Cricetulus griseus: one gene and its partners. The main gene of each other region encodes a partner of the protein of the gene in region 2 in a complex. Links are inferred from orthologs where the notes say so. Each region holds a gene or a part of one and is shown on either strand. Other genes may lie near its edges.

Region 1 (4,416 bases), about 31 Mb from region 2:
TACTTCAATCTCAAGAGAGAACACTTGGGGAGAGGAGGGGGCATGACTCCACACATAGAACCTCTAACACAGCAAAGAAGGGATAATAACTTAGGTTTTACTTTCATTCAGATAACAGACATCTGGCACAACCCCAAGCCATCTATTTACTCACCCAAAGGAAAACAGGAGTGTTTATTTTAACACAATGTTTTTTGGTTGGTTTGGTTTTGTGGTTTGGGGGGGACAGGGTTTTATGAAGCCAAGGCTAGCTTCAAACTCACCATGTAGCTGAAGCTAGCCCTGAAGTTCTGATGCTCCTGCGGTTAGCTACCTCCCCTAGTTCTAGGACTGCAGGCATGCACCACTGCATCTAGCTATGGACACAATAATTTGAACAGAAGGAAAAAAAAAAAAAGGCAGCTTTTTTTTTCTGATAGAAATTAAAGCTGATTTTTTTTTTCCTATTGGCTTCACCGTGCAGTCTGGTTTTGCAGTTATGCAATGAACATTTTCTATGAATTGTAAGAAAATCATTTTAACAAAAGTATACAGTTAAAAAAGTAACAAAAAATAATTTTTGTTAAAACAATTTTAACAAAAGTATTAAAATATATGTATAAATAAATTCTTTCTAGCTATCTACAAGACTCCTATGTCAACATAAATGAGCAAGGGAATCCATCATCCACCTTTTTTTCCTTTGAAGGGTTACATACACCAACTGTCTGAAGACCACTACACTATGTGATCTCGAATAATGATGCTGTTGCTACAGCTGCTGTTTTTGGAGACAGGGTTCACTAAGATTCTGTTTCATCCAGTTAGCCCTCCCTGGTACTAGGAAAGAGCATCCATTCCTGCAGAAGGAAAATCCAAAGGTAACAGCAGAAAATACACAACAGCAAACATGGTGGCCCACACCATACCAGCACTCAAAAGGCTAAGAGAGGAGGATGACTTTGAGTTTGAGGCAAGTTTGGCCACATAGCTTGGCCAAACACAAGCTTGGATGCATAGCTAGATCCAATTAGTCAAAAACACCAAAACCAAAATCTACTGAGGTTTCCCTTCATAATTTCTCTGTCTTCAAAACAGGACACTATTTCTACTAAAACATAGCACAGAAAAATCTTAATATTGTTGCCACTGTAGTATTTATCCATAAACCAACAAATGTTTTGACGTATACATGTCCACACTAAGCTTTACCATCAACCTCTGACTTAAAGAGTTTCAAACTTTACCCCATTTTCTTTTCTTTTCTTTCTTTCTTTTCTTTCTTTCCTTCCTTCCTTCCTTTGAGTTTTGCTATGTAACCCTGGTTTGCCTGGTCCTTGGCTATGTATTATGTAGCCCAGGCTGCCTTGAACTCCCAGCAACCCTCTTGAACGTTGCAATCAGTTATGAACCACCACATTAGGCTTTCATTATTGTTATTTTGACATTGTTTAATTTCCAGTCAAGATTACCTGCTACTATTGAGAAGCTCCAATAAAACATGTATTTAAATGTACATTTTACCTGACCTACAAAATCCAGAGACAGAACTAAAGCTACAAAACACACAATACAGAAAATCAGCAACTTTATATTCCAAACCCCCAAATATGCATTCTGGTTATTAAATTCTAGGTTAGAAAAGAAATACCAATGGTAATAAAATGTCTTGCAAGCAGCTAAAATTTTTCAAGAGTCAGCTCCAAACAACTTCATGCTACTTCAACACCGGCACCCTTGATAAAAGGCAGAGCCAGCGCTACCTCAGTCATCAGAATGCAACAGTGCATGTGTGAAGTTGTTCCTAAGGAAGCTAAACCACATCAGAAAGCTGAGCCTTGACGAAATGAACACGTGATGTGAAATAATTCAGATTTTATTAAGGAGAGGGGACTGGAAGAAAGAAAGAATGCATTGTTAGTATTTAGTCCACAGGAATAATATCAGAGGATATCAAAATAGACATTGGGAGCCAACAAACATCCCAGACATCACAACCTTGAGCTGTTCATTGGGGCTGTCAAAATTAGGTGAGGTAAGGTATACACGAAATGCTCAGCAAAGTCGTCACTCAACAGTTCTTATTTATAAACTACACAACAAAGCACAGGTTGAAACCCCACCTACAACTAACCACAAATCTGTCCCGGGCACAGTTTGTATTTACGATGCAAAGAAATCATAAATAAATCCCACTTTCTAAACTGCCATCTTGAAGATCAAAAAGGCCTGCCAGGAACTTATAAACTGCTTTCCAAAACTGTATGAGAGTGTCACGACCACGTCCTCACAACCTGGTGAACTGGTTAGAGTTCTGTAGCTCCAAAGCCAATCAAATCAGGAATAGCTAAAGGGTCAAAGACGCCCAAGCCTGGAGCGATTTGCTCAACCAGCATCATCCCTGCCTCCTACCAGGGGACTGAAGCAAAAGGCAGGCGCGGCCGAAGCGGGGCAGGAAGCACCAGGGGAGACGTCGCCCTCCGGACGGCCTGCAGAAATCAGGATGCCACCACCTTGGGCAGGGGAATTGCGCCCTACACCCGGATCTCCGCGGTTTCACCTCCCCTGGCCCTAAGACCCCCGCCCCACTCCACCCCCACCCCCCAGCGCGCGTGCCCCTCCAAGCCCCGGCCAGGCCAGGCAACACAGGATACTGAACACGGTCCGCTCCCAGGGTTCCAGCATGTAGAGCGCCGTGACCAGCAGGTACTGGTAGTAGAACCAGGACATCTGCTTCCAGGCCCGCGCCAGCCCCATGCCCGCCATGCGCCTCCCGCGATGCAGCAGCGTCAGGCCGGCCGGCGGCCCGCTCACCTCCTAAAGCCCCAGGCCTCGGGGCCCGCCCGCCACCACCCTGCGCCCATTGGCCCTGCTGGCTCCGCGCGTCACCGTGTACGCCCAGCCCCGCGCGCACCCCGAGCGGCCACCGCCGGTCCCGCCTGACCGGCGCTTATTGGTCAGGAAGCCACCTCGGTGCTCGCGCCCCGCCCCGTGCCTCGCCCCCGGTGCGCTCTCCAGCCGGAGGAAACGGTCTGGGTTTAAGCGCCTGTTCTGCATCCCCACGCGCCCGCATGGCGGTTGCGAGACCGGTTTCGGTGTCCACTGGTGTCCAGTCGAGGGCATGCCCTTTCGAACCAGGTTCCTTCAGACCAGCCCAGAAGGGTTTCTTCCTTTAGGAACAAGTGTGTAGAATATCTCTCTTCTGCCTCTGGGCCAGGGGGTTACAAGGCTGGGTAAGAATGCAACCATGGAGTCAGGCATGCAAATAAAGTGTCCTTGGACTGAGAAAATGAAGGATCAAAGAGAACGTGGTTACCAAATGTCACCCAGCCAAGGAGGTATTGCAAACTGTAAAAGTGACAGGTACATCAGTTCTTCTCTTCACCCAGGCACATGCATGAAAACACACCTATCTAGGCCTTGTAACCGCCCCCCAAGTACTCCTTAACCTAAAGACAAGAGAACTGACCATAAACAGCTGCCCATTTTTGGTGGCTGCACTTAAGAAACAGCCAAGTAGATCAGGATCAAGGGAAGTGAACTTAAGAACTTAATGTAGTGGGTTCTTCAGACAGCTTGAGGTCAGTGTGGGAGCTGTCTCCTAGAGATGCACTCCTAAGATTTTTCTACCAGCAACAATACCAGTTGTATTCCACTCTTCTGGAAGTCCATGCACTGTCTGCATATGAAATGACATAATTAAATGATCTGCAATTTACATGTTTAAAAGTTTTGAGCCTGCTGCTTTAAGCTTTAAAACTTTGAAGTCTGACAACTATTAACTTAAAAATACCAAGTGTTCTTTATGAGCAAAGACCTTAAAAACAGTAATAGACTTAAATCTATCCATAAAATACTTAGTACTGCTAGAGAAGGCAGGCAGGTAGACTACAGTGAAGTGTGATTAAAGGATATCTGTGTTCTCTGTATTAGATTGGAAGGGTAAAGGTTTCTGGGAAATAGTTCTTGAGCTAACTGCTGGAGAAGTACTAATAGAAGAAACATGGGTGATAGATGTTTCACAGAAAAATAATACCTCTACATGAAAGTCTAGTGTTTGATTCCAGGACTAAGGAACTGTACTGGATGGTTTTGTATGTCCACTTGATACAAGCTAGAGTCATCAGAGAGGAAGGAGCCTCAGTTGAGGAAATGCTTCCATGAGATCCAGCTTTAAGGCATTTTCTCAATTAGTGATCAACCGGGGAGGGTCCAGCACATTGCCTGTGGTGTCGTCTCTGGGCTGGTGGTCCTAGGTTCTATAAGAAGATAGACTAAGCCAGTCATGGGACACAAAGTAGTAAGCAGCACCCCTCCATGGCCTCTGCATCAGCTCGTGCTTCCAGGATCTTGCCCTGTTGAGTTCCTGTCCTGACTTCCTTCAGTGGTGAACAGCAATGTGGAAGTGTAAACCAAGTAAACTCTCTCCTCCTCCCC
Region 2 (3,069 bases):
GTCAGTATCTACAAGGAAAACTTATAACACTAATGGTGAAGTGGAACACGGGCAAAGGATTGACTCACACTTCCTTTACCAGGTCACATCCTAATCTGGACCCAGAAGCAGCTAGAGACTGTCATAACTGTGGAGGTCGGAAGCATTAGGGCTAGATGGGGTAAGAACCCAAACTTGGGACACATCTTCAGTCTGTGACCATATGAAGAAAATGAATAAATAAACTATTTGGTGACCAGAACAACAATGAAGATTAAGAGAAGTCTAGGGAGGTCCTTGGCCAGGGGGAGTCACATAATAAACCTCCTGGCATTGTTAACATTTAAGACTAAAGATAGAATGCTTTGGTTGATTAACTTGACTGGTTAAATAAGGGTTATTGGGGGGGGGGGGCGACCTCTGAGACCTGGACAAGAAGTTAGCAGAAGGCACTTGCTCCCTAGGGAGAGGGCCAGTGAGTCTCAAGGCTGGAGCGCCAGGGCCAGGTTAAGTCTTGATGGATCCAAGCCCAGGAGGTGACTGGAGTAGGGAATGCCTGTGTGGTAAGCCACAGGCAAGGGTCAGTGTGATTTCACAAGTAGAATAGTTATAAAATAAAACATTTTTTAATGGACAAAGTAATCATTTATATATATATATATATATTATATAAAGGTGAGACTTAGCAAACAATGGAAGAATGTGAAGCAGTTTGTTTCTTTTTTTACTATTTACAAAATGCCATTTGGAGTGGAGGTGTCCACCTTCAGTAGCTTCGGAAATGTCTTTCACATGAGGTGGTCACTGAAGTGTGGTTCTGGAACTGGCTCAGAAAGGCCACACACTGTCCTGGGAGGGAGTTTCCTCCTCTAGGGAGCACCAAAAAGGCTCAGTCTTCTGTCTCCTCATAGGTAGTCTCATCAAAGGGCCTGTCCAACAGAGGCACCAGCCGACGGCGTGAGTACTTCAGCTGCAGCAGGTCTCCAACTTCATCTATCTCCTTTAAAGCCTAAAACACACACAACAGTGCTCAGTCAGGATGAGCAGGATGCAAGCATGCCCAACACTTTGCTGGACCCAAACAACAGTGGCAAGGGCATCTTTTTTTTGTTTTGTTTTGTTTTTTGAGACAGGGTTTCTCTGTGTTGCTTGGAGCCTGTCCTGGAACTCGCTCTGTAGATCGGGCTGGCTTCAAACTCACAGAGATTCGCCTGCCTCCATCTCTTGAGTGCTGGGATTAAAGGCATGAGCCACCAATGCCACTGGCTAGTGGCAAGGTCATCTTAGAGGGATACAGTTAATTCAAGTATGCAGGAAAGACTGTACACAGCTGAAGCAAGAGTAGCATCTGGCCAGGAGTTGGTGGCACACGCCAGCACTCGGGAGACAGGAGGCAGGCGGATCTCTGGGTGTTCGAGGCCAGTCTGGTCTCCAGAGCACACGTGCGTGCGTGCGTGCGTGTGTGTGTGGTAGCATCTGAACAAGAGCTCAGGCCTGGTCATCAAGATGGCCATGAGCACCCAAGCATGCGCTACAAAGGCTGCAATTCTTATCTGTGTAAGGTGCTCAGGAGGAAAGGGAATAGGCTTCCTGTCAGGATTAGAGCTATAATTCTGTATGAAAATGCACACTTTGGGCCAGTGAGTGGCTCAGCAGGTAAAGGCGCCTTCCACAAAGCCTCACAACCTGAGATCAATCCCTAGGACCCACAGTGGAAAGGACCAACTCTTGCAACTTGCACTTTGAGCTCCATATGCAAGTCATGGCATGTTTGAAACCACACCCACACTCAAAAGCACAATAAAAAAATTATAAAAAATATTTTAAAAGAAAATATGCATTTTAGAACTGCTTACCAGCATAAAGGTCAGTTTGCATGTTTTTTTATTCCAAAATGTGAAGAATATAAATAAAGAATAAGAGCTGAGCTTCACTGTGCTATCAGAACAGCGGGGCCTTGGAGGCCAGGCTTAACTGAAGACTCCACACAGACAGTTAACTCTGAACTTCAGATGGGAGAAACCATTAGCCATTTATCTCCTTGACTGGTAGAGGACTTATACATTTAAAACAAAGGTGTACATGACTTAGAACACAGAGGAAAAGATATTTATGAGCCCTGACTCCAGGAACACCTAGTGTTTTTTCATCAGTGTGAAGAAGAAAGTGGTTAGAAACACGAAGTGAGCAGAAACAAACTCTCAGTGCCCAAGGGGATAAAAGTAAGAGTCTTGTTCCCATATCTAGTATTTCACACAAGGTTTTTGATTCTATTTTTTCATTTGTTATGTGATATGGGATCTCAATAAACTTCCCAAGATGATCTGGGGCTCTTGAGCTCAAGTGATCTTTCTATCTCAGACTTCTGGGAACCCAGGACTATGAGCATATACCACCACTCAGAGCCCCACACAAGTTTTGTCTACATAAAAAACCAAATTTGTAACAGAAACTGCTGGCCCTTAAATGAGGTTATTTGGTTAGATTAGGAGCAAAGAACCATTATATGGTAATATCTATTAGCAAATAATTATAGTGACCTCTGGCACAAGGCATAAGACGAGTTCCTAGAGAAAGACATATCCAGCCCAGGCTGAGTGAGGACAGTGCTAGTACAACTGCCCTCCCACAGCGGATACTGTTATTCTTCCCATTATGTGGAAAGATGACTTTACTGAAAAATGACCCACATTCCACAAACCTCAACTTTTTTTTTTTTTTTTTTTTTTTTTTTTTTTTTTTTTTTGGTTTTTCGAGACAGGGTTTCTCTGTGTAGCTTTGGAGCCTATCCTGGCACTTGCTCTGGAGACCAGGCTGGCCTCGAACTCACAGAGATCCGCCTGCCTCTGCCTCCCAAGTGCTGGGATTAAAGGCGTGCGCCACCAACGCCCGGCCAAACCCCAACTTTTTACTGGACACAATTCAGTGCTTCTAGTATAATCCCATCATGGCACAACTTTCATCACTTCACTGCTTGTAGAGAGTTTCCTTTTGCTTTTTTCCTCCTCCTCTTTTTTTTTTTAGCTTTTTGAGACAGATCTCTGTGTAGCCCTGTCTGCCTTGGAACTGACTCCGTAGACCAGGCTGGCC
Region 3 (3,502 bases), on a different chromosome or scaffold from region 2:
GGAGCTCCTTCCTCTGCCTGCCTGAACTTTGTACCTGGCCAGGGAGCAGCAGATAAGACTACACAGAACAATCTGAGAGGCCAGTGTCCTCGGGAGATAAGGGTTCCTCCCTCTCCCAGCTGAGCTAGCAAGAAGCCCTGAGGACCCCTCTTCCCTCCCTCTCATCACAGCAGTGAGAGGGGGAAAGGCAGCCTCCCTAACAGAAACCCACTGGGAATGGCTGAGGTGAGAAGCCAGAATGGGCCATGCCAGAGCACCAGTAGCAACCCCCACCCCACTCCATTTATAGGCCATGTCTGGACTGACCTTCCTGGCCACCAAACCCCACTCCCAATCCCCCCAGCCAGGCCTACGAAGTCAGAGGCTCAGACCCAATCAGAGGAAGAGCAGGTGAGGCACAGGCAGCGGGGATTATGGGGATTAGCTGCAACTCAGCAAGGCTCTCACCAGCTTCCCCACATCCACTTTGGCTTTTCCCCTGGGCCGCCCCAGAGTCCCCACACCACCACCCCTCCCTCCCCAGGCCAAAAGGGTGCAGACAGACACATGGTTAACAGAACATCAAAAGGATGCGGAGAGACACGTGGTTAACAGAACGTGTTGTACTTTATTTGCATTTTCCAGAATACTGTACAAAGGGAGTAAAAATCCTATTCACACTTTGCTTAGAAAGACCACAAGGTGAAAGTTCCCTATGATACATGGGGTTGAGAATGAGGGTCAGGGGAAGGAAACAGGGTGAGTGACTTCCCTCCATCCCCTGGAGAGCTCAGGCACCCACACCCTTCCAAAGGAACATGCCCCAGTCGAACCAAACCAGCGAGGGGAGAAGACAGCCCCTCTTCAGCTTAGTCAGACTCTGTGAGCCACCTCTCTTCGGGCTGAGGAGACAGTGCCTGCAGCTGTCCCTACTAGTGCCCTGTTTGGGCAGGGATCCTATAGCACTGTGGAGCCCACTGACCTCACATGGAGGGGGCCTCTTGGCCACACAAGAGGCACTGCCCGGGCACAATCTACATGAGAATACAGGTTGAAGGGTTGAGGAAGAGCTACCCAGGGAAGTTTCCCTCAGACACAGCTAAGGGAAGTGTCCGATTGGACCTGTGCTTCTGAGGACTCACAGGCCTATTTCAGCCTGTGCACGCCCTCACACCAAGCCAGGAGCTTCAAACTCCCTCCTTCCCCACCCTTCCCCACCATCATTCTGTGGGTAAATTAACCCTCCAAGCCAGCTCTCCTTCCAGCCCACATCCCAGAGGAGGCTGGATCTGGCTCCTCCCCAGATCCTCTTTTTCACACTGATTCACATCAGCTGCTGCTATCTTGACCATCCTAAGACCCCACCCTCCCCCTGCTCACAGCTCCCCTCTCCCCTGGACCAGGGCAGCAGCATCCTGGCCCCACCTCTACACCAGGTGTTCCCCAACCCCATCTTCCTTTCCCAATCTTCCTCCTACCCCATAGCTCACCCAGGGTGGGTTGCAAGGAAGTCAACGAGCCTGACTGCTCTACATAGAGGGGAGAGACAGCGCAGCACGTGTGTTTCCAATACATACAAAAGTGAGTCTCACCCCACACACTCAAAGACTGAGGGGGAGACGATGCAGAAGCCGTACCGTCCCTCTGCCCCTCTCAGGGGCTAAAGTGCTATGGCTGCCTGAGGGTAAACAAGCCAACAGGGGTTTTTCCTGGCTTCCTGTCCCAACTTCTGAGGTCCACAGTCAGCCGGAAAGCCCAGCCCCTTTCATGACCACCCCCACGGCATCTCTACTCAAAAGGCAAAAGGAAAAGATCAAAAACTTCAGAATGGGTTAGAGCCCAAGGGCCCCACCCTAACCCCACTACAAGCTACTCCAAGTCGGCTACTGGGGAAGCGAGGGGGAAGCCAGGCCCAGGGCACACCCCCATCTCTGGCAGTGAGTGTCCAGAGGCTCCTGTCTTCAGCATCACAGCAAAGGCCTTCTACCCTTCCCCTGCCAACCTGGCTGAGGAAGGGGCTACAACCTCAGTACTTATTGATTCCAAAAATCCGGACTCCATGGAGCTGGGGCAGCTTGGGGATGAGCACACTCATCAAGGACACAGTGTTGAGTATGAAATGGACTTGGTCATACTTGGTGTAGAAGCTGGTGAGGAAGTACCTGGGCCGGGGAAGGCAAGAAGATAGGAAAATAAGGGTCCCAACTAAGAAGTGGAGCGACAAGTCTCACTCCTTACCTACCCCCAGCTTACCCCAGGCCTATGGGCCTGTCTCCTGCACAGAGTTGGGGAAAGTCGGCCAGAAAGACCCAGGGGCCAGGGTGAGACCCAAGGTATGCCCCTTCCTTCCTTCCCTCTGCTCATCTCTAAACCAAGGGCCAAAGTTGGGGAGAGTTGGAGCCTAGCTGAGCCCCTGGCTTTACCACACCTGCTGGCGTCTCCCACAGCCAAAGCACTCACAGCACAATCGGGGTGATGGTCAAGAATTTCCTAGAGGCTGTGAACTGGACTCCATAGTCCATCTGCTCCCAGTGGGTCAGCAACCTGGCTTTGCCCTGGTCTGGAGTCTCGAAGGGTGTCCCTTTCACCGTGTGCAGGAAGATGTACATGCCCTGAAAGGAAAGACCTTCATCAGAAAATACAAAAGGCAAGTCGACTCCCAGCCTGGCTTCCCAACCTGTCACACACAGAAACAGCTCCAGGTGGACTGCCACCTTCCTCTGCTGCATTGGCGCAAGCAGGCAGTCTCAATATACAAAAGAGCGCCCAGGAGCCCACATGGTGGAAGGACATGGGGACCGCATAAGGGGAGGAGTTAGCTACACAATGGGCAAACATGGCTGCCCTCCAGCCCAACTAGGGTCTCTGCATGTCAGCTAAAAGGAGCAAGCCAAGGAAGGAGGACTACCCTGTCTGCTCAAAAGTGGGGTATAAGGAAGCAGGTTTTAGGGAGCACAGAGGTTCAGGAGAACCTCAGCAAGGCCTCAGCTCTCAGCTCTAAGCTCTCAGGTGGCGCAAATGTAACCAGCAGCAAGCCCATCCTGGAGACACAGGCAAGGTGCAGATTTGATTCTTGTAGGTACGCTACAGCCCACAAGGGGGAGCAAGGCCAAGATAAGAGCCCGGCCTTGGCTCAGGCGACATTGTCAGGACCTGCTGTCTGTCCCAGGTCAAGCTCCTCCTATCTCTCAGCTCTGGCACACAACAGCCCATATGGTCGGAGACTGGCAGTAAGCAGGCTCTTACCAAGTTGTGGATAAGGTTGGTGAGGGTCCAGACGACAGGGACGCTCACAAAGGGGATGCTGAGCAGCACGACATGCAGGAGTCCGATGGCCAGCACATACGAGAGCCAGATGCCGCGGCTGTTCATCACCCGTGTGTTGGGGTTCACCTCACTGTGTGCCGTGCCCACATTCATCCTGCCACCCCTCTTGACTGCTGCTCTGCAAACAAGCAACACAGGTGAGACAGGTCACACCACTTTCCCTGCCCCTCACACCCTGAGCCCCACAGAGGAGGCT

The links.
Region 1: the proteins of Sptlc2 (region 2) and serine palmitoyltransferase small subunit A are in contact, whole or in part, in a cryo-EM structure (PDB 7K0K), measured with the Homo sapiens proteins. The link is inferred for Cricetulus griseus from reciprocal best matches to the Homo sapiens genes SPTLC2 and SPTSSA. Residues at the interface, in NP_004854.1 of Homo sapiens: Leu73, Gly77, Val80, Leu81, Phe84, Leu87, Arg88, Leu91, Leu126, Arg129, Ile130, Tyr156, Met475, Pro476, Ala477, Lys478, Gly480, Ala481, Arg484, Glu485, Asp533, Leu534, Leu535, Gln536; in NP_612145.2 of Homo sapiens: Trp15, Tyr18, Gln19, Leu21, Leu22, Val23, Thr24, Ala25, Tyr27, Met28, Leu29, Glu30, Pro31, Trp32, Glu33, Val36, Phe37.
Region 3: the proteins of Sptlc2 (region 2) and Ormdl3 are in contact, whole or in part, in a cryo-EM structure (PDB 7K0O), measured with the Homo sapiens proteins. The link is inferred for Cricetulus griseus from reciprocal best matches to the Homo sapiens genes SPTLC2 and ORMDL3. Residues at the interface, in NP_004854.1 of Homo sapiens: Glu65, Thr66, Pro67, Met68, Ala71, Val72, Tyr75, Tyr86, Gln116, Phe118, Glu119, Asn120, Phe121, Tyr122, Tyr127, Trp134, Asp259, Glu260, Leu261, Asn262, Val267, Arg271, Ile279, Met320, Val495, Val496, Gly497, Phe498, Pro499, Ala500; in NP_001307730.1 of Homo sapiens: Met1, Asn2, Val3, Gly4, Thr5, Ala6, His7, Ser8, Pro12, Val16, Ser19, Arg20, Gly21, Ile22, Leu24, Ser25, Leu28, Phe63, Val67, Lys68, Gly69, Thr70, Pro71, Phe72, Glu73, Pro75, Gln77, Arg81.

The regions. Positions count from the first base shown.
Region 1 is NC_048598.1:147,641,208-147,645,623, reverse strand, and holds the start of serine palmitoyltransferase small subunit A, read right to left. Parts: upstream 2,825-4,416; 5' UTR 2,746-2,824; coding exon 2,634-2,745; intron 1-2,633. UniProt on the Homo sapiens protein: Component of the serine palmitoyltransferase multisubunit enzyme (SPT) that catalyzes the initial and rate-limiting step in sphingolipid biosynthesis by condensing L-serine and activated acyl-CoA (most commonly palmitoyl-CoA) to form long-chain bases.
Region 2 is NC_048598.1:116,491,199-116,494,267, reverse strand, and holds the end of Sptlc2 (serine palmitoyltransferase 2), read right to left. Parts: intron 989-3,069; coding exon 869-988; 3' UTR 629-868; downstream 1-628. UniProt on the Homo sapiens protein: Component of the serine palmitoyltransferase multisubunit enzyme (SPT) that catalyzes the initial and rate-limiting step in sphingolipid biosynthesis by condensing L-serine and activated acyl-CoA (most commonly palmitoyl-CoA) to form long-chain bases.
Region 3 is NC_048600.1:111,717,339-111,720,840, forward strand, and holds the end of Ormdl3 (ORM1-like protein 3), read right to left. Parts: intron 3,425-3,502; exon of another isoform or gene 3,420-3,424; 5' UTR 3,400-3,419; coding exon 3,226-3,399; intron 2,592-3,225; coding exon 2,440-2,591; intron 2,142-2,439; coding exon 2,006-2,141; 3' UTR 588-2,005; downstream 1-587. UniProt on the Homo sapiens protein: Plays an essential role in the homeostatic regulation of sphingolipid de novo biosynthesis by modulating the activity of the serine palmitoyltransferase (SPT) in response to ceramide levels.